4 linked regions of the Drosophila melanogaster genome follow. The protein of the gene in region 1 interacts with the protein of each later gene in a pairwise test. Each region holds a gene or a part of one and is shown in the gene's direction. Other genes may lie near its edges.

Region 1 (7,619 bases):
ACAGAATAGTACTTACTGTAAGGTAAAGGGCTTGCTGAAAAGCACAAAGGAGAAGGCTATAGTCACAGCCTTGCGGGCGGTGGTCACTGTGGCAGCTATGGGGGCACCACTACTCCTCACCAGAGCCAGCACAAACTGAATGCCCAGATAGCCGGACAAACTAAAGAGGAAGCCATAGCCGAAGGTCTCAACGGGATGCTAAATGGATAATACACTTTAGATCTCTTACATCATAAACCTCAAATGTTACCCACCTCCAAACAGAATGCAAAGCCGCTGAAGAAGTTGCCGGTAACCAGCATAATCACAAATAGGTACACAAAACCCAAGCCGTATGAGTAGAACACCACCTCACTGCTGGGCGCCTTGAATTCCCGCATCGCCTTCTCCTGGACATTGCCAATGGCTGCGTCGCAGAGCAGCGCTCCCGAAATCATGGCCACACCAAGCAGATTGAAATTGGGCGTCATCTGGGAGTCGGCCAGCGTGAACCAGGCCAATCCGATGCACATGCAGGTGGCTGCCGCAAAGTCCAGCAGTCCGTAGCGTTTGCCCTGTATGAGGATGCTGCCCACCAGCACGGGAATGAGCTTGCAGCACTTGAAAATCACCTGGGTGGGATAGTTCAGGTAGCCGAGACTTGAGTTGGACAGACCCATGGTACCCAGCGTGAGAGCAGCCAGAATTAGGTATGTTCTCATGGGAATGCAACGTGGCTCCGGCTCAATGTTCCAAAAGGAACCGCCGCTTATCCGATAGCCCTCCAGCCGCCGCTCCACCAAACCGAAGCCGATGTAGTAGCCAAACTGGACGAGCGTGAGGAACCATCCGTAGGGTTTGAATCCTTCGACGGTGAAGATCAGCTCCTGCAGATAGCCGTACAGGATGTACAGGAAGAAGACGCCGGCGCAGCTGAGCAGGAACTGAGTTGTGCGATTGTAGTAGGTGAGGTCAAAGCAAAGGATACGGAGTTCCGGCGGAGATTCCGACGTCGAGGACTTCCGCTGCGAGGGCGGCGAGTTTCCCGCCGATTCGCCGCCATTAATGGTGATAACGCTCCCCTTATTATCGGTCATTCTGCTGCTAGCGGATGTGTCTATATACATATACACACTATATAGTGGCTATTTCAAGATTATATTTCCAGGGAGCCCGTGTAATTCAATGCCACGCTGTCCGCGGAGTTGTCGGTTTAAAGTGCGGATTTGTCATGCCTCCTCGGATGCTGCATTAATCACGGGCCGGCGTGGAGATTTCTGTTGGGTGCAAATTGCCCTGGCTAAATGTTTGTTTACCACAAATAAACTATTTTTGTCAGCTTAGAACTGAGATAGACGCGCGGCGTTGCCACGTTGTGGTAATAATAGAAGAGAGACCGGTATAACGTGGAACAAGTTGGCAGCTCTGCTACCACCGTCATTCTAATTGGAACTTCTGCTACTGGCAATAAATACATTTAACAAATGAGCAGCGATAAAGGTTTAAGCCGCTTTTTTGCTCAAAAAAGCGTATGATAAGCGCTAAAAACTACTTAAAAAGTAGTGCCGAGAGTAACTCCTAGTATTTGACTACATGTCGTTCTAAGAATACAAAGATATGGGCACACTGTCGGAAAAAACAAGAAGAAGCAGTGAAAAGTGCCGCTGAAAAAGTGCAAAAAGTTATGAATTTAGTATTTTACATAGGATAATAGTGCTAATAACAGTCGCAAAATGGACGTGCAACCGCCACGCGGTAAGTGCAGCAATTAAAAAGTGCTGAATATAACTTAAAATCAAGCTAATTTTGTGCCCAAGTCGATTGGCATGCACATGTGTACACATACAAACAAACAAGCGCACGCACAACCTTTGATATGCTCACATTTTTTGCAAAAACCATTTGCTTTCTATTTGCAGATGCCAGTTTACGAAATATTATCGACAAACTGGCGGAGTTTGTGGCCAGAAATGGGCCGGAATTCGAGGCGATAACCAAGCAGAAGCAGCAGAACAATCCAAAGTTCGAGTTCCTCTACGGCGGGGAGTTCGCCAACTATTATCAATTCAGGGTGGCAGCGGAACAAGCTCGTGAGTGCGTTCTAAATTGGTGGAAAATAACCCCTATAATCTCCTTTTAACACCCAATACAGTGCTAAAGCAACAGGCCATTAACCAACAACTGCCACCAGGTGCTCCATCCGGCCACTACATGCAACATCCGCCGCCAATGCAGCAATCCCAACCACCGGGCCTCTATCCGCCACCCAATCAGCAGCCACCGCACCCGCCCGAAACCGCACAAGACAATATGCAACAGCAAACACAGCACTCCTGGCCGCCGAACTCCGGCAACGGTGGGCCGCCAAACAATCAGCAGGCCAATGGCAATCCCATGGCCATGAATCTAACGTCACAACTGGAAGCCATCAAGATGCAGCAGAAGTCGCTGCGGGAACAGATCCAGCAATCCGAAGCGAATCTCTCCGCACAGCACACGGTAATTTGAAGTTGGAAATAACTGGGATACCTCTATATGCCCACCTTTGCAAGCCTTTTTCCGAAAGATTAGAGCAGCTCGAGTGTATAAAGAAAAGATTTCAATATGATTTCATGTTGAATGTTGGCCTCCTCTGGCAAAAATTTAAAGAAGCAAATTGGTTTCCTTTTTAAACTAAATACCCACCTAAAAGTTGCTTTTATAGTCTGAATATAAGAACGTGTTTGCTTCTTCGAATTTTTGACCTCCCTTTTAAACGACCCAATCGAATGTGAATATACCTCGATTTTAAGCCAGAATGCTTTTAATTATTTTCTTAAGAGAGAAGATAACTTGTATAACCCTTATATACTTTCGGACTTAAATGATTTCCAAAGATATTGTCATAGACTCATAGATGGCAGTTTTGTATTCCCTAGTTTTTGTAATAACAACTCTGGAACAAGAGTTCATCAAATGGTGTTTAATATTAATAATTATGAACTGCTTTTGTGGACTTTTCACTCTATAAGTACTGTGAACTAAATTCTTTCTAATAAGAAGGACATTTCTTATTGCTTGTCGCTATTGAATTTCCCTGTAATGGAAGTGACTTCCCTCTTGAAATTGTTTCTTATGAAACTAATCCACGAATTCCTCAGAATAATCAATCCTGCTCTCGACCCTTTTCCAAATGTTTTTTCAATCGATCTACTCAGTTCTTGTTCTCCAAGTGCGGATAAGATAAAGTTAAAGTGTACTTTCAGCAATATCAAACTACAATCTATATTTGTCATTATTTTTACTATTTAATTAACAATTTACAATGCTACATTAAATTTTTGCTTTATTGTATTTTTTGAAACATAAACCAAAAAAAAAAAAACCAAATCAAACCACTCTTCATACCAACTGACAAAACTGTATAAAAACAAAAAAAAAACAAATCCTAAAATCAAATTTGTTTTGAAACGCTTGTCAAATGAATCCCAAAATGCGAATATGCATGCGAACAAACCTTTGTGTGCCTAATGACCAAACCGAACCGATCCGAACCACACCAACGCTTGCGATCCTAATCGCACCAATCAACCAAACGAAACCAACCTGTAGGCCCTGATGAATCAGAAGACCAAGCAGATCGAGGATGCAATTGCGGCGGCGCAGACGGCGCAGCAGGAACAGATGGCTGGCGAACAGGGCATTGTGCTGAGGGACTTCGATGGCGTTCTGCAGCCGATCATCGAGTCCTGCACGAAGGACAGCATCTCTGCAGGTAAATACGAGTTCAGCGGACAGGCTGGATTACATTATTGCTTGTTTGTAGTCTCGTAATCAGTCATAAGTTAGCTAATGGAGCTGAATTTTTGATGCTCCGCAGCTTTGCTGCACACAAAGCGCACACTAAATGAATCCATACTACTTTTTGATTAATCCTAAACCTAATTTATAATCGCCATGGACAATGACAATATGAGTAACCCGTTTGATATTGCAATTTTAGGCAAGAACTGGATTTTACAGCATTCAACCGACAGCGCAAAAATCAATGTCGTTTTACAATATCTTTTAAAGAAGTATGCCTCAGTTTTATACCTAATGACCTGCAATATGTATTAATTAAATTGTGTTTCTTTCTTTCAACGAGTGAAATACTAACCAAACATAGAAAAACGAAATACGAAATATCGAACAAACAAGTGAGAGATGATCGATTGAGCGATTGTGCGATTGAGACTTCCACAGAGAGGCTCGAGATTGATTCGTTGATTCGTTTTCGAGAGATGTTATGATCATATATGAGTAGTCCCCAGATCCGGAAGTCTTTTAGCTAGGGCCACACACCCAAACAAATCATTTTACTTAATAAGCTTAACCATAAACACGCACAACAACACACCAACACTTAACAGTGATAATCATCGGACAAAAAAAAAAAACCAAAAAAAAAAACACAAATACCAAAAAGAAAGAAGATTTACTAACAAAAATCATTATACTTGCACAACAAGTACTTTTGGCAATGTTGTTGTGCATACAGAGAACTAGAAAAATATGTTTTTCGTTTGTTAATTTATTTTTAGGGCTTTGGTCAATGGTTCAACGTTTCAGCAAAAATTGCATCTTATATATTTAGTTAATGATATACTCCATCACTGGTAAGTTCGCCCAGTCAATTATTAGTATAGTATAGTATTTAAGGGCCATAGACCTCAATAACTAACCCACTGAGCAGTAAGACTACTTTGTGGGTTAGTTTCTGCGGACGACTACGCTGACAGAATTGGACTGAACCTGACCGACCACCGGACTTCGGACATCATACCTTGACATTTAGAGTAGCTAGGAGATGAGACCTAAGTCCAACGATATATTTACAGCATGCGCAAGAACATCAATGACTTGAAGAACAGCCTCGAGAACGTCGTCATTCCGATGTTCTGCAGCGCCGACTTGAGTATGTATTTCCACTTCGATCCATTCCTTTACGGATTTCTAATAGTGTTATCCTCGCCCACAGTTGGCAACCCCGACCAGCGCCAGAAGCTAGCCAAGCTGCTGTCTCTGTGGGAGTCCAAGGCGAAGTTCTTCGATGCCTGCGTCATCTCGAAGCTTCAGTCACCGGACTCGTCAATGCAGGAGTACAAAACCAATCTGCAGAACACACATCATGATATAACTGCTAAATTCACGCAGAATACCAAGGCGACTTTGGATAAGTAAGTATAAAAGTCCAAGAACATAATAGAGCACATAATAAACCATAACTCTTATGCTTCAGCTATCAGAAACAGCATCATGTATTTATCCAACATGCTAGCCAGCAAATTGTGCAGCTGGAGAAACAGGCGCAGCACCTGGAGCAGCAGATTGTGGCCCAGAAGTCCCAGCAGCAACACATGCTTCAGCATCAGCAGAAGAACATACCATCGCTGATGTCCCACCGAATAGCAATGCCGGGTGACCATGAGCACATGAATAGCCAGGGGCCGCATGATCAGCAGCATCCGCAGGCGGGAAATAATATGTATCCAGGTGGTAACTTCCAACAGCAGCAGCCACCACCGGGGAATCACTTTGCGGATCCACGCGGACCGAACTTCTTCATTCCGGACATGTCCAAACCACCACCAGGCTTCCCCGGACCCATGCATCATAATCAGGGCCCAGCAATGGGCCAGCAGCAGCCACAACCGGGACAGTTTCCGCCCATGCAGGCGCCGGGTTCTGGCAATGAACCACCTGTTGATCTTGGCGTTCTCAGTGCAGCGATTCAGGCGTGCTTACAGATGCAGCAGCAACACCATCCTGACGACCCTCAGCAACAAGGACAGCACCAACTGCAGCAGCAGCAGCAGCAACAACCGCAGCAGCAAAAGCAGCCGCCGCCAATGGCTGCCTATCCCCAGAATATTGTTAGACCTGGCCAGCAAAATGCTGATAGCAGCGAAGTGGATCTGGATGTGCTCAATGCAGCCATTCGCGCGGTTATAACCAACAAACCCGAAGACGGAACATTGGAAGATGGCCAGCAACCACAGAAATTGGTCGACGGAGAATCTGGAGAACCTGTTGTGATCGGAGAGCCACAAATACCCACAGCGCCTTACTACGACCTGCCAGCGGGCCTCATGGTGCCGCTCATTCGTCTGGAGGATTACAACTACAAAGCCCTCGATCCGGCGGACATTCGACTGCCAGCTCCAGCGCCACAAAGCGAGCGATTAACAAATGCATTGAACGCCTTCTATTCCGCACCCTCACACGATCGTCCAAGGGATAAGTAAGTATTTCAATTTGATGTTATTGAGCGTTCCTTATAAATGGGCTTATCTTGCAGTGAGGGTTGGGAGAAGCTTGGTCTCTATGAGTACTATAAGGTGAAGAATGCGGCGCGAAAGCAAAAAGAAGAGGAAATCAAGGACGGCATTCGAGAAAAGTCGCGGTCGCCAAGTCCGATTGTGCTCGAGAAACCCCTACCCAAAAAGAGCAACAAGCGAGTTTATCGGTGAGTGTTGGTTTTCCATCAAAAATTTTCACACAAAAACTAGAAATATTTGCACTTATTTTCTTGCGCAGATCCAAGAGTCGCAGTCGCTCCCGCTCAAAAACGCCGCCCCATCGAGATAGATCGTTGTCTCGCTCCCGATCCCGCTCGCGATCCATGGAGCGCTCTTTAACGCCGCCACCGATGAATCGGAGCAGGTTGGGCGGTGGTAACAACCGCAAGGGTCGCAATCGATCTCCTCGCCACGAACGGGACAACAACAGCGGCAGCACAAATACCAGAGAGGGCCGTGGTGATCGTGGCAATTCCAATAGCCGAGACAATGGCAACAGCACCAACCTAAGACGAGTGGACCGCGACAGATCTCTAACACCTCCGAGCTTTCTGTAAATCATGGCTATAGTACAATTTCATGACAGTCGGACCAATGAGCTATCTTTGTTTTTCCAGGGGAAGCACATTTGCCAAGCCAGCGGATTTCATCGAGGAATCGAACAAGGGCCACCAAATGCTCATGAAAATGGGTTGGGCGGGCACGGGAACTGGACTGGGCTCAAAGAATCAAGGCATCGACACGCCCATTTCGGGAGGCGAGGTGCGCGATCGTCGAGAGATGTACAAGGTGAAGTGGCAAGAGTGCGCAAGAAAGGACAACTTATAATTTTCTATCCACAGGGAGTGGGCGCTAATATGCACGATCCCTTCGAGAGCTTTCGGAAGAACAAAGGAGCTGCCTTCGCGCACCGGATGCGATCGCGAGACGACAAGAGTTAGGATCTGCCAACGGTCATAACTTCCCAGTTTTTTGTTTCCTTTAGCCCAGAAAATATACATTTTTATAAAAGCGAACTGAATTTTTATACAAGATTAGGCTATAACATTAAAGCTGGATTGAGCGGCCTTGGCATTTACTTTTTCCAGGACCTGGACCAGGCCCTTGCCAGGACCGCATTCGAAGGTGCGTGGAAAGTCGACGCCCTGCTTGCGCTCGTACATCTCGTGGAGAGTCTGCTCCCACTTGACGGGCCTCACGATTTGCTTGGGCAGCTGCGTTAGGATGTGCTTGGCATGGCGATAGGGTTTGCCATCCACATTGGAGTACACTCTAATGACGGGGTCCTGAAGTCGCACCGTTTTCAGGGCTTTGGTAAAT
Region 2 (5,715 bases), on another chromosome or scaffold:
CTGATTTCCACCTAGCGAGAAAAATCAATAAAAAACGCAAGGTAGACACGCCACCGAGCAGACTCAAAAAGAACTGAACAAAATATATGTCCTCACAAAGGCCCTTTGGCACGTTCATGTCAGCGGGTTAACAATGGATGACACCGAAGAGTAGTCCATGGAGGAGGAGGTGGATGTGGAGGCGGAGCAGCCAGTTAAGAGCTTTCGGCCAGGTGAGAGAAGTGCTCATCTCTGGCTGGGATACCTTTTTCCAGCTTTCCACTTCTATGGAGCTCTAAACTATATGTAACTATAGTCTCGAGATATTTTATTCTATTAATATTCTTTCTCTAAGATAAATATCAGTTTTTATTTCTCATATATGTAATAATAAATATATTTATAATAAATAATAAATAATAATAATAAATATATTTATTATTAAGGTATACAACCCTTAAATTAAAATTTAATTTAGATGGGATTTCATAAAATAGATTTATAGAAAATGAAAAGAATATTATAAAATAGATATTAAAAGAAAAACGTTGTCTTTTTAGGAACTATGAATCTTATATCTTTTTAATTTAATAATTTTAAAATTGGTAGAGCACTTCTGAAATTAGGTTATCACTTTTAAGTACTATTATTCTAATATCTTTTAAATACAATTAAATATTTTTATTCGTTAACACAAACCCCATAACCCCCCAATGTCCTTAGAGAAGCTGAGATATTTTTGCCCAGGAACAGGGCAGCACATCCCCAAGCAGACCCAACCATCACCGCGATCACTCGAATGCCATCCTAATGCGCCCATTTTAGGGCTTTAACCTAATAATGACGTTCGACTTAGTTTGCGTGACTTATTTTATTAATAAAACGAGCAAATTTGTCTTGCTTTTTGGTCGCATCGTCGTCATATGCTTTTTCTCTCTCGGCGATGTCTCGTTATTGTCCTTCCTTCCTGCTCTGTTTGTGGAGACCCCCCCCCCCCATATTTCCCTCTCTCTGAAGGAATTAAGGACTTTCCGCTGTGAGGAAAGACTGATTCTCAAAGCAACAGGACGAAACAGGACGAGTATAGTTGCGAAAGCAACCCCTCGGCGAGCTCTTCGCCGATTGGTGGCTTGCTGGAAAGGAGGCACGCCCCCTTTTTCGATGGTGTCACTTGGTTGGGTGCGGAGGGGGCCGGGTGTCCTTGGTGGGTGGTGTACGGCTATGTGGGGCTCTGATTCAATTAACCGCGCGGGGAAAAAATATCTGAATGCAAAGCAGGCGAATGCTTGGCCCCAACCCAGCGGGTACAGTTGCGCTGGCTCCACCTAGCAATTATCCTGTCACAGCAGCAGAATCGATTGTTTAATTCAATTATAATAATTGTGGCATTTAATGCACGCACATCATCAGCCAGACAGCCAACAATGGCGGCCGTGACACGTTAATTATGACAAGTGGGTGCCAAATGGGCGGCTGGGGACGTGGCAGGATGTGCCTGCCTCGCAAAATGGCGGCAGAGCAAGGACGCATAGTTGTGCAACTTATTTGCGGCTAACGGGGGTCAATTAAACTAAGGTTTTTCCGCACTAATCGCATGTCCAGTGGATGCCAGCAGAGAGATGGGTGCTCAAAATCCTGCCAGAGCAGGACAACCCTATGCGCATGCAAATCGAGGGGTGTGTTCATGTGCCCGCTTACGGGGATTCCCCGAATATTGCCGCTCTAAGCGGGCACCGCAAAGCGGGCCAACTGCAGCCGGATTGAGGAGGGGGTGGCACTGCCTGCGCTCGCATTTTTTCCCCCCCTTCGATTTTCCCCTTTTCGCAGGATGCAGGACCATATCGCCGGCTCGCTCGCACATGTCTGCTGGCAGCTCGTTTAGAGCAATTTGCTGGTTGATGTGCGGTGATTGCCGCAAACTCAACGCGACCGTCAACGAGCAAACAACATAAGCGCGCGCGCGGTCCAAGGACACGTATATATCCCGGCTGGCTGGCACATCTCCTGGCTCCGGTCTCCATCACTGCTCCTCGTGCTCCTCCTGCTCGGCCATCCTCCAGCGCAATGGCAATGCTTAATGAGGCCAGCTTGAGTCCTGCGGACGCACATGCTCATGCCAACGCCACCACGCCCACGCACAGCAAGGCGGCGGCGATGGCCAGTGCCACCACAATGCTGACCACAAAAACGCCGTTTTCCATCGAGCACATATTGTTTCAAAACTTAAATAGTGCCAGCAATAACAATAATAGTAGTGATACCAACGGCATCGCCGCAAACACCAACAACTACGCGCCAAAGAGCAGCAGAAACGCGGTGAAAAGTGCCAGAAGCGCATTTGCCCACGACAATAATCCGCACAAACATCCGTCGCAACATTCGCATCCGCCGCAGTCACATCCGCCGGCGTCCGCATCCGCATCCGCGACGGCTACTGCCCGCAGCAACCAGGCTGCGTCGGGTTACGCTGGCGAGGATTACGGCAAGTCCATGCACAGCACTCCACGGTTGGTTTCCGAATTCCAAGGCCTAATACTACTGCAGTGAAATTTTAGTTTAAAAAACTTTAATTTTAAGCCAATATAATTGCATAGAAAAGTGAAAAAAAGTAATTAAAATAAAAAAAAAATAAATAAAAAATAAGATAATATTAACAAAGTGAATTTATAAAAGAATAAGAAGTAAACATGAAACATCAAATACGATAGATAGTCACACCTTCTTGAAGACAAATATTTTGGAATAGCATACACCTTTAAAATCTTACTTTGGATTATGTTCTTTTAAATTATAGAATATTTTTTGTAAGAAAAATGATATTTTGGAAACATAGAAATCAGGCTTACCATAAAGCTTAATGTATCTGGGAATATATATTTGTATTTAAGCATATTAGCATAAAAATCACTATTGGACATAAAGAGAATAGTTTAACATCGAAATACCAATAGACCCCTAATTGAACCACTTGCTTCGTAGGTCCAACCACCACTCGCGACACGGAACTTCCCACTACAACGGAGATCAGATTTCGCAGCAGTTGGGATCTGGAGCAGCACAACATCCGCCGGTGCCCACGACTCAACCTCAACCTCCGCCTCCGCCGCCCCTGAATGGAGGTAGTGGTGCATCCAATGGAGTACTCTATCCGAATGCACCCTACACCGATCACGGATTTCTTCAAATGACCCTCGGATATCTCTCGCCGTCGTCGGGCACCTACAAGTCCGTGGATCCCTATTTTCTATCACAAGGTGAGTTAATGCTCGATATTACAGAGATATCCTCCTAGATGATTCTGATTTGTACTGGTACATACAAACATGTTGGTAATAAGTTAAAGTCGAACTCATAGAAATTAAAAGTCAATTCTAGCTAGAGTTTAGCTAATCGAAAATGAAGTTGGACATATTCTCATTAAAAAGCCAGCACAACATTTAATTTCACATTTAGAACTTTTTCAAAATGAAACCCAAATTAGTAGGACAACTGATGTTGAAGTGCAGTTTTTTGTTGCCACATAGCTTCATTTAGGGGCACTAAAACTCGAAATATTCGGTGTAAATGGCCATCAACACCGAAAGTTTTCATTTGTTCCAACTATAACGAAGTTAACCAAATTTTGCATCCTTTGCCCTTTCAGCCAGCCTGTTCGGGGGAGCGCCCTTCTTCGGAGCGCCTGGCTGTGTGCCGGAACTGGCCCTCGGACTGGGAATGGGCGTGAATGCCCTGCGCCACTGCCGCCGGAGGAAGGCTCGCACGGTGTTCAGTGATCCGCAGCTGTCCGGTCTGGAAAAGCGGTTCGAGGGACAGCGATACCTGTCCACGCCGGAGCGTGTGGAGCTGGCCACCGCCTTGGGACTCAGCGAGACGCAGGTGAAGACCTGGTTCCAGAACCGCCGCATGAAGCACAAAAAGCAGCTGCGCCGGCGCGACAATGCCAATGGTGAGTATATTGATTTCATAATCACAAATTTATTATGAGCAAATTAAATATTACGAAATTTATAATACTCAAATCAAGTTATTTAATATTCAAACCTTTTCTGGGCTGTTAAGAACAACTAGAGCGAAAAAGAGTTGCTCAAGTTTTCCAGCTTTTAGACAATGCAATATTTGAGTTAGCAATTAAATTGTCAAAAGGCATTTCGAGCAGGAGTGGTCAGCGGTTTTCAAATTGGTCACAAAGCACCAAAAACTAGACCACTGGAGTGAGTAGTTTCTTTGAGGAACTTTTGGACTATCAATTAGACCTTTTGGCTTTTAGCCGGCTCCTTGTGATGCAAAAAGTTTTGCTCAAGTTTCAACGCAAATCAAATTAGTTCTAAATTTTGTGGAAATTTCTTTGACTCTTCCATGCCGCAGAGCCCGTCGACTTCTCACGCAGCGAACCGGGCAAGCAGCCGGGCGAGGCCACCTCCTCATCCGGGGACTCCAAGCACGGCAAACTGAATCCCGGATCTGTCGGCGGCACACCCACTCAGCCGACGAGCGAGCAGCAGCTGCAGATGTGCCTGATGCAGCAGGGTTACTCCACGGATGACTACTCCGATCTGGAGGCGGACAGTGGCGACGAGGACAACTCCAGCGACGTGGACATCGTCGGCGATGCGAAACTCTACCAGTTAACATAGACAGTTCGATCGGGATGTGGACCTGGATCCTAAAGTAGTAAAGTTTTCGGTGTTTCAGTTGGGGGAAATACAACTAAAAGAGATTTTCAAATCAAAAAATATCAGTTTCTTTTACTAAATGACTTTTCTATTAGACAAGCACAGAAGTTACAAAACAACACATATATTATCAGCGCGAGCATGGTTATACCATTTTGAAAATATCTATTATTACGATTTAGTACGAACTATAGTTCCTTATAATTGTGGAAACTTACCCATCAGTTTCACCATTGAATTAATTGATTGATTATAACAGATACCATCCAGCTACTCTAGCTGTTTTGATCTTGTCCAAAAGAAACATATTTATTTTGCTATAATTATAGTTGTATTTCCCCCCAGATACATATTTGAATTGAATCGAAAAGCCGTGTAAATACCAACGAGTTCTTGAACGAGTTTTCTAGTCATGTATTAAGTCTAATAACTAATCAAATTTAGTGATTGTATTCGAGAACTTCCATTTTAAGATACATTAGTTCCCTGCGACTTCTTATCCAGAACATAGTGCTTACAATAAACGGAACGGAGCGAATTACGCGAATGCTGGAGAAGTGTTACTGGGTGGGTGGGTGGTGTAGCTTGATGCCCGCCCCCTCGCCGGGCAATCAAATCCAATTGACAACACAAAGTAGCAACTAATATGGTTAAGCAGCGGGAATACTGATGTATGGGGTTGGCGACTGCCACGCCCTGCGCATGTCCTGCCGCCCAAGTGGGCGGGCGGAAGCGGGTGGGATTGGATTGAATCGGGGTGGATGGAAATGCACTTAACAATGGCAAAATAATTGCGGGTTTTCAGACAGCCATTTTAGTGAGACACCCATTGTCAAGTGCGGAATAGAGTGAGGAGGTAAAAGTTAAATGTTTCAAATTGATTGGTAATTACGGGTTAGCAGGAATGCTCTCGAAAAAATATTAATAGTTTACCCGATTAAGAATGAGTCTTGGAGGGAATGGAGTTCCATATGCTTATATACATGTAGATACCTTTGCAGTCATCAAAACTCATGGATCTATTTGTTGAGAGAAGTTATCATTTTTAGTTTCATACTTTGGA
Region 3 (4,978 bases), on another chromosome or scaffold:
CCGGCACTTGGACTCCCCGGTGGACCAGTGGCGACGCGGCGGTTGCCAGTGATGGTGACCATGCTCGTGATCATGCTCCCAATCCCAGTCCCAGTGGATGGGCATGACTGCGCCACCGGTTCCCGATGCACGGACTCCGGTTCGTTGGACACACGGAGCAAGCGTGTTGATTTTTGGCTTATGTGGCCAAAAAAACCGTTGCCCTCCGCCCGGTTCGACTCTTACAAGCTAACTGAGTGGATGAGGTTATGGTAATCGCTGGAACTTGGAGCTGCACAACTGTACCTGGCACCAAAGCCACTCTAACTGAGCATATTTCTGTTCCACCTTCAATGGCGTTTTTAAGTACAGTGACTCTTCAGTAGGTGCGACTCCAATTCGATGCAGGAAAGGATCATTTAGAAACATGCACGTAAACCAAAAGATATTCTTTTAATTAAGTTGGCTACAGGTAAATGGCTTTTTACTAAGTGATAACTCTCAATCAGTTACATATATCAGGATTTTACTGTATCGCGTTCCTTCAGTGGGACACGCGTTCCCGGGAAAGTGGGTCTCAGCCTTGTCCGACAACTCGAACTGTTTGATCAATACCCGTCCCACCAGCAGTCCAATCAGCCGCGGAGCTTCGTCCTTTTATTGCACAAGCGGCGCCAAGGAGCCGGAATCGGAAGACGGGACAAGGAGAGCACAGTGCACACAGCGCGAGTTGAGCCAGTTATGAGATAATGCCAAAAATTTTGAATCAAACCGAGTGCTGGAGGAATGGCGAATGGTGTCACTAATTGTACCATTGTCACCCCGCCACGGGAAGAGCAAAGCAAATCCGAGCAACTGAACTCGGCAGACGAGTATGGCAGACGCATTGTGGCAAATGAAACTAATGAAAATCGTGACCCCACAGCAACATTGGATACTTATGCACTAAGAGAAACTGCATGGATATCTATGAAAATCGAAAGCTACTCCATGAAGAGTGGCAAAAGTCCTTGTTAAAATTGTATACTTATTTTAAAATTTGAAATACACTTTTTTTAGTGCGTTTTTTTTTTCAGTGTGACTGCAGTGCTATCCAAACAGCTGTTAACAGGGTGCTATCTTTTACGGAAAATATGGCAAAAGTAAGCAACCAAATTTTCTGATTGGCTGTAGATAATGAAAGCTGCGTCGGATTAAATTTCCCGCCAAATCCTTAAGGCTCGTGGGACCAAATTACAACCACTTCCTCTCGATTTGCACCCTGTATTCGATAGCTGTATTCCATTGTCCTTAGACGACGACGACGACATCGTCGTTGCGTTGTCAAGACAGTTGTTGCCTCTTTGTTGCTGCCATTTTTGTACCACTGCTGCCCCGGGTTGAGCCAATTTGTAAAATATATACGATATATATTTTACTTATGTCTGGTGCTGCTGGGGTCAGGCAATTTGGCTGCTCGCGCTGCATGGCTGCTGAAATTGAATTTTTGCTTTGGCTTTTAAGCAAGTTTGACAAATTTTCAGAGCACGGCCAAAAGTGACTGCAACAGTTTCGTTAGCTTCCAAGCCAAAAGTCGATGTTTTCTTGGCCAAGGGAAAAGCAGAAAAGTCAAAAGGGGATGGGGGCCAAGGGGTAGATGGGTTTGAAATTGCATTGACAGGCAGTCAAGCCCTTCCACTTCATGGCGCTGGGACAAATATAGATTACGCAAGTGCTTAGGGTTAAGCTAATATTAGCAGGAATCTAAATTCCTTCCTCAAAAGGTCAATTGGTTTGCTGGCTACAAATTGTGCACCGCTTTTACATAACACATCGATGCCAAAGACGTCAGAGAAACGTACAGAGCTTAGTTTTTAGCAAGCTCCTGTTGATCGAATTAGCTGGAATTTGTTAGGCAAATAAAATGTGGGAAAAATGGATCTTTGTTGGCTGCTTTTCAGTCTTGAACTCAGTTCAATTCAGACTTTAAAGGTGTTCGCAAGCTTTAAGTAAGCAAAAAGTGGTGTAGTTTGCACAATAAAAGGACCTCGATTATTTCAAGCGATTAAGGATATTTTTGAAAAGTAAAATCCAACAATTAAGACAATCGAAGTTGGCTTAATGAGAAGTATTTGCTTAGCCGCTGCTTCAATAATTGTATTACTACTGTTGTGGCACTTAATCAGCCCAACGGCCTTGTAGTCCTGCAAATCCTCGCCCCAGATTGCAAAGGACACAGGATTAGGGGCGCAATTAATGACCGTGGCCATTGATTATTTTACACACATGTGTGTGTGTGTGTGTGTACCTACCGCCTTCAAATGGCAATTGGAACGCCAAGGCATGTTAATCAAAGCCACCCCTGTTTTGGGAGTTTGGGGCCAGTTAGCCATGGTTGCGGGCCTCTTGGCAACCAGCTTTGGATGCCTTAGTGCCGTGATTGGAAAATAATTGCATTCATTAAGTGGGTTATTGCCTACGACGCTTGCGATAAACATCTGCTAACTGGGTCACAATTTCGGCGACTGGCAATCCAATAGATTAACGGCCGAACGCCTCAGTTTGCGGGCTTAAAGGTATCTGTATCTGAACATAAGGTTCGTTACACTTGGCCACAACGGATTGGTTGATAGTGTTCCGAAAGCTCGAAACTTCATATTCTTAAAATGTAGTTAATGTTACTAGATATGTATACTTATATTTATTGTCCTTTATCTAAGTCTAAACACAATTACTTTATACGTGCCTTAAGCAAACTGTCTAAATGTGCCAATTGGTTGCCAATAGCCATCGGTGGTAACTAATCAGTAGATGGCCAGTATTGGCCATATTTCGATAATAAATAGCATTTGCCCAAGTGAACATCTCCCTGCGGTGAAATCAAGCATTAAAAATTCACTTACTTCCGGTTATTTTAGTACGCAAAAGTAAAGTCATCGGACGGATTTAATGTGTAGTCGTTTGTATAATGCAAAGTTGGTAAATGTCCAAATGAATGACTTCACTCACTTCACTTTAGTTAAAATATTTACTAATACTTGCCTACCCTCCATTTGCGGGGATTTTGGGTGGAGTAAAACACATGTTTGCGGCTTTGTACGGCAGTCATTTTTTACACATCAATGCGTCCGAGTGGGCCACGCAAACTGGGCGAAACTGAAACTGATGGAAGGTCTGCCAGCCACGTGGAGGTCCTGCAGCAAACAAGGATACCATGTACATGTGGGGGATCCGTACAAATATGCATAAAAGTAATCATAAGTCCGGATCCCCACCACCACCACCACCACCACCTCCTCCTCCATCACCATCATCATCATCGGATGGGGCTAGCTGGCGGAATGGCCATGGAAGGGTCCGAATTGTTCTATGTAGCAGTTGGCATTTGGAAAACGCATAGTTGGCTTCACTAGATAACAAAAACTGAACTCCGAGAATAGATTTGGTTATCGATTTGCGGGAATGGGGGCCATACATTTATTTATTTGAAAGGTAATATTCGGATGAACAATCCTTTATTCGAATACCGCATAAAAATAGAACACATCGTTATCAATTTGATGGCCATCTGCCGATTGAATAACAAGTAATACAAACTATATTTGGTTAAATTGTTGCAAAGATAAAAACAACAATTTACCATATAATAGTTATATTCCTAAAGAGTTCGATCCATTTCGAATGTTTTCCTAACCAAACAGCTTATACGCGCATTTTCTTGAAATTTTAGATATTTTTAGATTTCAAGAGAATGGAAATTTAAATTTCTGGTCAGATAAAAACAACTTTTGGCAACGTTTCGTGACATGTAGTTTCCAAAAACGCGTTGTCCCAGAATGGCGAAAGCCAGCCTGCCAAGGCTTAAAATTTTGTTAATGAATTGCGAATTCTATCGGCATCTGCACCGCCCTGCGCACCGCGTACTCATTTAACCAATCCTTTCCAAGGACCTCCGTTTCGCTCGTTTGCCATTCACGCAACACATTTAAAGTTTGAGCTTTGTGGTGGTGCTTTCGGCTGCAAGGCGAATTGTCAAGGCAACATGACGGGCGGAAAGTGGGTGGTGTTGCTCCTGGTAGGGCTAAGCTGCTCATAACCCCTGCCAAGTCGCCCAAGTAACAGCCCCTCGTTAGTTACGGCCATATGCTTTTTATGTAATACACCCACACTACCCGCCAGCCAAGTGGATCCGAAAGTGGATCTGAATTGCGGGGTTGTGGAGCCTGTAGTCGGAAGTCTGAGGCATTCCGGAATGGAATGGGCATGCCATTCGTATATGTTGGCCAACACATGTGTTCCGGCTGGCCCACTCTGTAGGATTTATGATCAATCATTCGGTTAGGCTTACTGCGGTTAGGTTTCGGTCTGGTCCAGAACTCAGTATCCCAGCCAGCCTCCAGTTCCCAGCTAGCAACTTACCAACTTGTACCCCGTCCTTCGTCCATGGCCACTGACAAATCTTTATCTTTGCCCTGACTTATTTATCCTTTTTGGCCATTTCATTTTTATTCCGCCTGGCGTTTTTATGTCATGTTTATTGATGTGTAAAAGTCATAAAGTCAAATTGAACACTTGTGACGAGAGTCATCCCTCGCGATTTCCACCCGTCTTCACCCGTTTCTGACTTTCCGAGTGTGACATTGATTTTTGCCATATTCTTTCGATTCTATACTATTTTATTAAAACTCCAGACTCCGTTTCACAGTTTTCTAGGCACTACTCCATTCTCATTCCATATTCCATTACGCGGGCAGCAAGTTTATGGCATTTCGAGCTGGTTGTGGAAGATAAGCAGCTGCGACATGTATATATATAGTTCACTCACCTCGTCGATTTGCTGGCATTAACCACAGCGCCATCCTTGAACCACTGGAACTGCATCCGGGATGAGCCTTGGGCCGTGCAGGATATGATGAACTCGCTGGCCTCGCGGACTCCTGATTGCGGCTGATTGACGGTCAGCTCCTGCGAAAGGGGAGACAATGTCACACTAATTAGACACAGGATGGCTGTGGTTCGG
Region 4 (3,983 bases), on another chromosome or scaffold:
ATCAAGGAGCAGTATCATTCGGAGGCGGAGTCCATTAACTTTGCGCTCAACGATGCCGCCGCCCAGGCCATCAATGCCTGGGTGAATGCCAAGACTCAGGGCAAGATTACGGAGCTGGTCAGCGCGGACTCGTTCTCGGACAACACCAGGCTGGTCCTGCTCAATGCCCTCCACTTCAAGGGCAGCTGGGCGCACAAGTTCAGCGAGGAGCGCACCGAGGAGGATATCTTCTGGGTGGGCGAGGAGGAGCAGGTTAAAATCAACTACATGAACCAGAAGGCCAAGTTCAACTATGGCTTCTTCGAAGATCTGGGCTGCACTGCCCTGGAGATGCCCTACCAGGACTCTGACCTCTCCATGTTCGTGCTGCTGCCGCAGGAGCGGACAGGTATTTACGCCCTAGCCGAGAAGCTCAAGACTGTGAACCTGGTGGATTTGGCCGACAAGTTGACCGTGGAAGAGGTCCATGTCAAGTTCCCCAAGTTTAAGGTGGACTACTCCCTGGAATTGGCCGAGAAACTGAAGCAGGTACATATTATTTTTTTTTTTTGGGGGTGGGGGGGGTTGATTGTTCCACCCAATTTATGCCACAATTAAGCTCCATTTGGGGTCAGCTTTTGTTTTTATATAACACAGTTCCTTGACCTCCATTTGATGTTGCGTGCTTAAGGTGAAGTTTGGAGTTATTAATAGCAGTAGCTCAATAAATTTCTCCATAAAATCCAGAATTCAATTTTATGGACACGTTGCAGTGCTGCAAACCGCCCACAAAAATATTTATTGCCCACTTATCTCTAAAATTCCGTCTATTGATGTACATATGTATTATTTTTAGTAGCTTATCGACGGTAGGGTAGAAATGTCTTAGATAACCAAAATGAGCTGTTGTGGTATTGCGGTGGCAGCTAGTGGCTCGAACTCAAGATCATGTATCAGCCGCACGATCCTAAAAAAAAATGATGGAATTTTAGCTGCAGTCGGATGTGACACACCTTTCCAAGCACCTCACATATCTAATCGTTCATAAATCCTCAATCGGATATGACCTCATTAGTTATTTACTTGGCACTTATGTATTTACCTTTTCACTTTCAGCTGGGCATCACGAAAATGTTTACGGACCAAGCTGAGTTTAGCAATCTGCTGGAATCCCCCGAGGGCGTCTTTGTGTCCAAGGTGCTGCACAAGGCCACCATCGAGGTGAATGAGGAGGGCACGGAGGCGGCGGCTGCCACCGGCATGATCATGATGACCCGCATGATGACCTTCCCGCTGCAGTTCCAGGCGGACCGGCCCTTCCTCTACGTCATCTGGAATAAGAAGAACATCCTCTTCGCTGGCGCCTTCGTTAAGGCTGCCTAAAAGCCCATTTCTCACTTCTTTCGTATTGTTTGTATTGTTGTTGGAAAAGTATTTTTAAATAAATAAGCGCTCCATGATTAAATTACCCGTGTTTATCGTATTGCCAATTGGAAATTCTTGGCAGATGTAAACAAATTTGAACTAAACACCTGTTTCAATAGAAAAATATGAGAACGTTGTTTGAGGATCAACATTTCGGTTATTTAAATATATGTTTTCATGATATTTGAAGTGCGCGCCACTCATTCAGCCTTGCCACCAAGTTCGTGGTCTGTTATCGATTCGATATCGAAAAGAAGTCGCGAAATGGCCTAAAACTGGCCGAACCGCAAGACCAGCCGAATTGAGTCTGCGCAGAGCGCGTAAAACCAAAACGAAGAGAACGCAGGAGAGTCGAACGGTAAATCGGTCGCAGCAACATAAACTTTTAGAATCGCCAGCGAGAGCCGTCTTAAAAGTGCGAATACAAACAGAAGGAAAAGCGGCCGCCTATGGCAACCTGACTAGCAAAACATTCGAAAGCAATTGGCCAAAGTTAGGACGAAATGAGCCGAAAGAACGGAAACCAGGACACCTTTCCCAAGACGGAGAAGATGCAGCGCTACTACGCGGAGCGCGAGACCACAGGACCCGAGTTCGGTGAGTTTTCCTCGGTTCGCAATCGGTACACAATGGATTCAGAAATGGAATCTGAGTAACCGGGGCTCGCAGAATCAACCCCCAAAGCCAAAGGATGTGTCTTCTGCGCTTAGGGGTTGCTGTTTCTGCGGCGAAGAAACGTAGAAACGGAATTAGAAAACCGAAACAGATTTTAACGATTTTTCCCACAAATCCTTGCTCCCAGACGATCGCCTGATAAAGCTTGTGCGCGCCAATCCGGCCATCTATGATGTCAGCCATCCGCACTATCGCCGTAATCCGGTGCGGGTGGACATATGGGATCGCATTGCCAACGAACTGGGCGCCTCCTGTGAGTATATTGCATTTTATCCACTGCGTAGATTCTGTCGATAAAACCACCCCATTTTTTCTACGCCCACTTCACAGCCCGATTTCTGCAAACCAAATGGAAGAACATACGATACAACTATCTGCAGGAGGTCAAGGCGATTGAGACGGGCCAGGCGAATCCGAACGTACGCAAGCGGCGCTTCACTGAGGATCTATCCTTTCTGCAGAACACGGCCCAAACCTACAATGTGAAGAAATCCCAGAGCTACGTGGCCCAACAGAATGGAATGGGAAGTGACAACGACAGCAATAGCTTTTTGTATCCCGATCCGGAGCACCTAAAGATCGACGCCTCCGAGGGCTACGACATCATCGAGCTGGACAACAGCGACGATGGCTCAAATAGCGACGACAACGAGATTGTGCCCGAGTTGCAGCTGGTCATGGGAGAGTCCAAGCAGCAATTATCCCTGCCGACGACACTGAACGGCACCAGCAGCAGCAATCACAGCCACGAACATGACCAAGCCAGCTCGCCGGCCTCCTCGCCCCTGCTAACGCCGATGGTTGTAATGGGCAATGGCTATGGCCAGGAGGTGCATCTAGAACAGCAGCAGACACAGGAGCAAAAGCCGTTCAAGAATAGCTCGCTGTCCAACGGAGAAGTGACCATTGAGCCCATTTACAAGCCTGCGGCTATCAGACGCGCATTACCCAGCGATTTTCTGACCAATCCCTTCAAGCGCAAGGCAACCCAAGCGCCGCTTCAGACCCAAGTGACGTCGTCCTTCAACGATCCCATCGAGCTCTACTGCCTATCGCTGGTGGACACACTGCGCAGCATGCGGAGATCGGAACGGGAGCGGGTCAAGTTCGAGTTCGCCAACATTCTGAAGGACGCCAAGTACAAGGACGAAAGCTAAGGCGTCATAGTCATCATTCTATACGTACAATTCTCGATTAGTATCCTTAGTGGTAGACAACGCACTCGAACACTTCCCACACTCCCCCTTCATTTATGTATTTACATACTTGCAAACAACTTGTAACTCTACGTTTCGAGTCCTAGGCTAAGGTTCTAGGTTAATTTGAGGCGATATGTGTCCATAGTCCATATCTCTTTAGTTGTATCAACATTGAGTCGAATAAAATTATGCACAAAACAAGGTTAGCAGCAAACGAAGTTTCATTGTTCCAAAGAAAAAGTACACATTTGATTTCATTTGCAGCTCAACGCGACATTAAACAATTTATTTTGAAATAATGATAAGAGTAGTGTGTAAAATGTATAAACTGAAGCGTGCGATCTTAAATCGTATACGATGCGATCAGCTTTCACTGTACTCTCGATCGGTTAGTGCAAACTAAAAATCTTCTACCTGCTGAGCTGGGGCCCGCAAAATCCCGCGATACAAAATAAATCTAAATCTTTACTGATTCTTCGAGTCTTTCTACAACAAGAACTGGTTAGTCTATATATCATATATATAGTGCATAAGGCATATACAGATCATTCATATGATTATAGTGGTTATTAATGTGATTATCGTATGAATCAACTAAATGGTTAGACAGAGTAGGTGATGAAAATTAACGTGTCAAGATTTGCATTTAACACTAAAAACGATTTGTTCGCCAATTTAACGGCTGAGCTGCTGCTACTTAATATA

Evidence for each region.
Region 2: the proteins of scaf6 (region 1) and bsh interact in a two-hybrid assay, tested with the Drosophila melanogaster proteins (one large-scale study listed by BioGRID).
Region 3: the proteins of scaf6 (region 1) and CG34109 interact in a two-hybrid assay, tested with the Drosophila melanogaster proteins (one large-scale study listed by BioGRID).
Region 4: the proteins of scaf6 (region 1) and Dlip3 interact in a two-hybrid assay, tested with the Drosophila melanogaster proteins (one large-scale study listed by BioGRID).

Annotation. Positions count from the first base shown.
Region 1 is NT_037436.4:17,036,553-17,044,171, reverse strand, and holds scaf6 (SR-related CTD associated factor 6), read left to right. Parts: upstream 1-1,597; 5' UTR 1,598-1,712; coding exon 1,713-1,734; intron 1,735-1,898; coding exon 1,899-2,069; intron 2,070-2,131; coding exon 2,132-2,478; coding exon of another isoform or gene 2,479-2,487; exon of another isoform or gene 2,488-3,238; intron 3,239-3,570; coding exon 3,571-3,733; intron 3,734-3,961; coding exon 3,962-4,034; intron 4,035-4,541; coding exon 4,542-4,616; intron 4,617-4,838; coding exon 4,839-4,915; intron 4,916-4,978; coding exon 4,979-5,177; intron 5,178-5,239; coding exon 5,240-6,241; intron 6,242-6,298; coding exon 6,299-6,466; intron 6,467-6,537; coding exon 6,538-6,852; intron 6,853-6,916; coding exon 6,917-7,088; intron 7,089-7,141; coding exon 7,142-7,240; 3' UTR 7,241-7,313; downstream 7,314-7,619. Other genes in the region: Papst2 (PAPS transporter 2), read right to left, coding at 17-198, 255-1,106; beg (bad egg), read right to left, coding at 7,334-7,619.
Region 2 is NT_033779.5:19,765,258-19,770,972, reverse strand, and holds bsh (brain-specific homeobox), read left to right. Parts: upstream 1-1,905; 5' UTR 1,906-2,043; coding exon 2,044-2,486; intron 2,487-2,958; coding exon 2,959-3,233; intron 3,234-3,622; coding exon 3,623-3,925; intron 3,926-4,344; coding exon 4,345-4,613; 3' UTR 4,614-5,197; downstream 5,198-5,715. UniProt on the Drosophila melanogaster protein: DNA binding protein that function as transcriptional activator. May play a role in the determination and function of cell types in the brain.
Region 3 is NT_033779.5:10,092,131-10,097,108, forward strand, and holds the start of CG34109 (uncharacterized protein), read left to right. Parts: upstream 1-1,957; 5' UTR 1,958-1,967; intron 1,968-4,783; coding exon of another isoform or gene 4,784-4,923; intron 4,924-4,978. Other genes in the region: CG44153 (uncharacterized protein), read right to left, coding at 4,784-4,923; CG13133 (uncharacterized protein), read right to left, coding at 1-105.
Region 4 is NT_033778.4:18,126,770-18,130,752, forward strand, and holds Dlip3 (dorsal interacting protein 3), read left to right. Parts: upstream 1-1,724; 5' UTR 1,725-1,907; coding exon 1,908-2,001; intron 2,002-2,206; coding exon 2,207-2,332; intron 2,333-2,409; coding exon 2,410-3,236; 3' UTR 3,237-3,477; downstream 3,478-3,983. Other genes in the region: Spn55B (serpin 55B), read left to right, coding at 1-528, 1,096-1,362.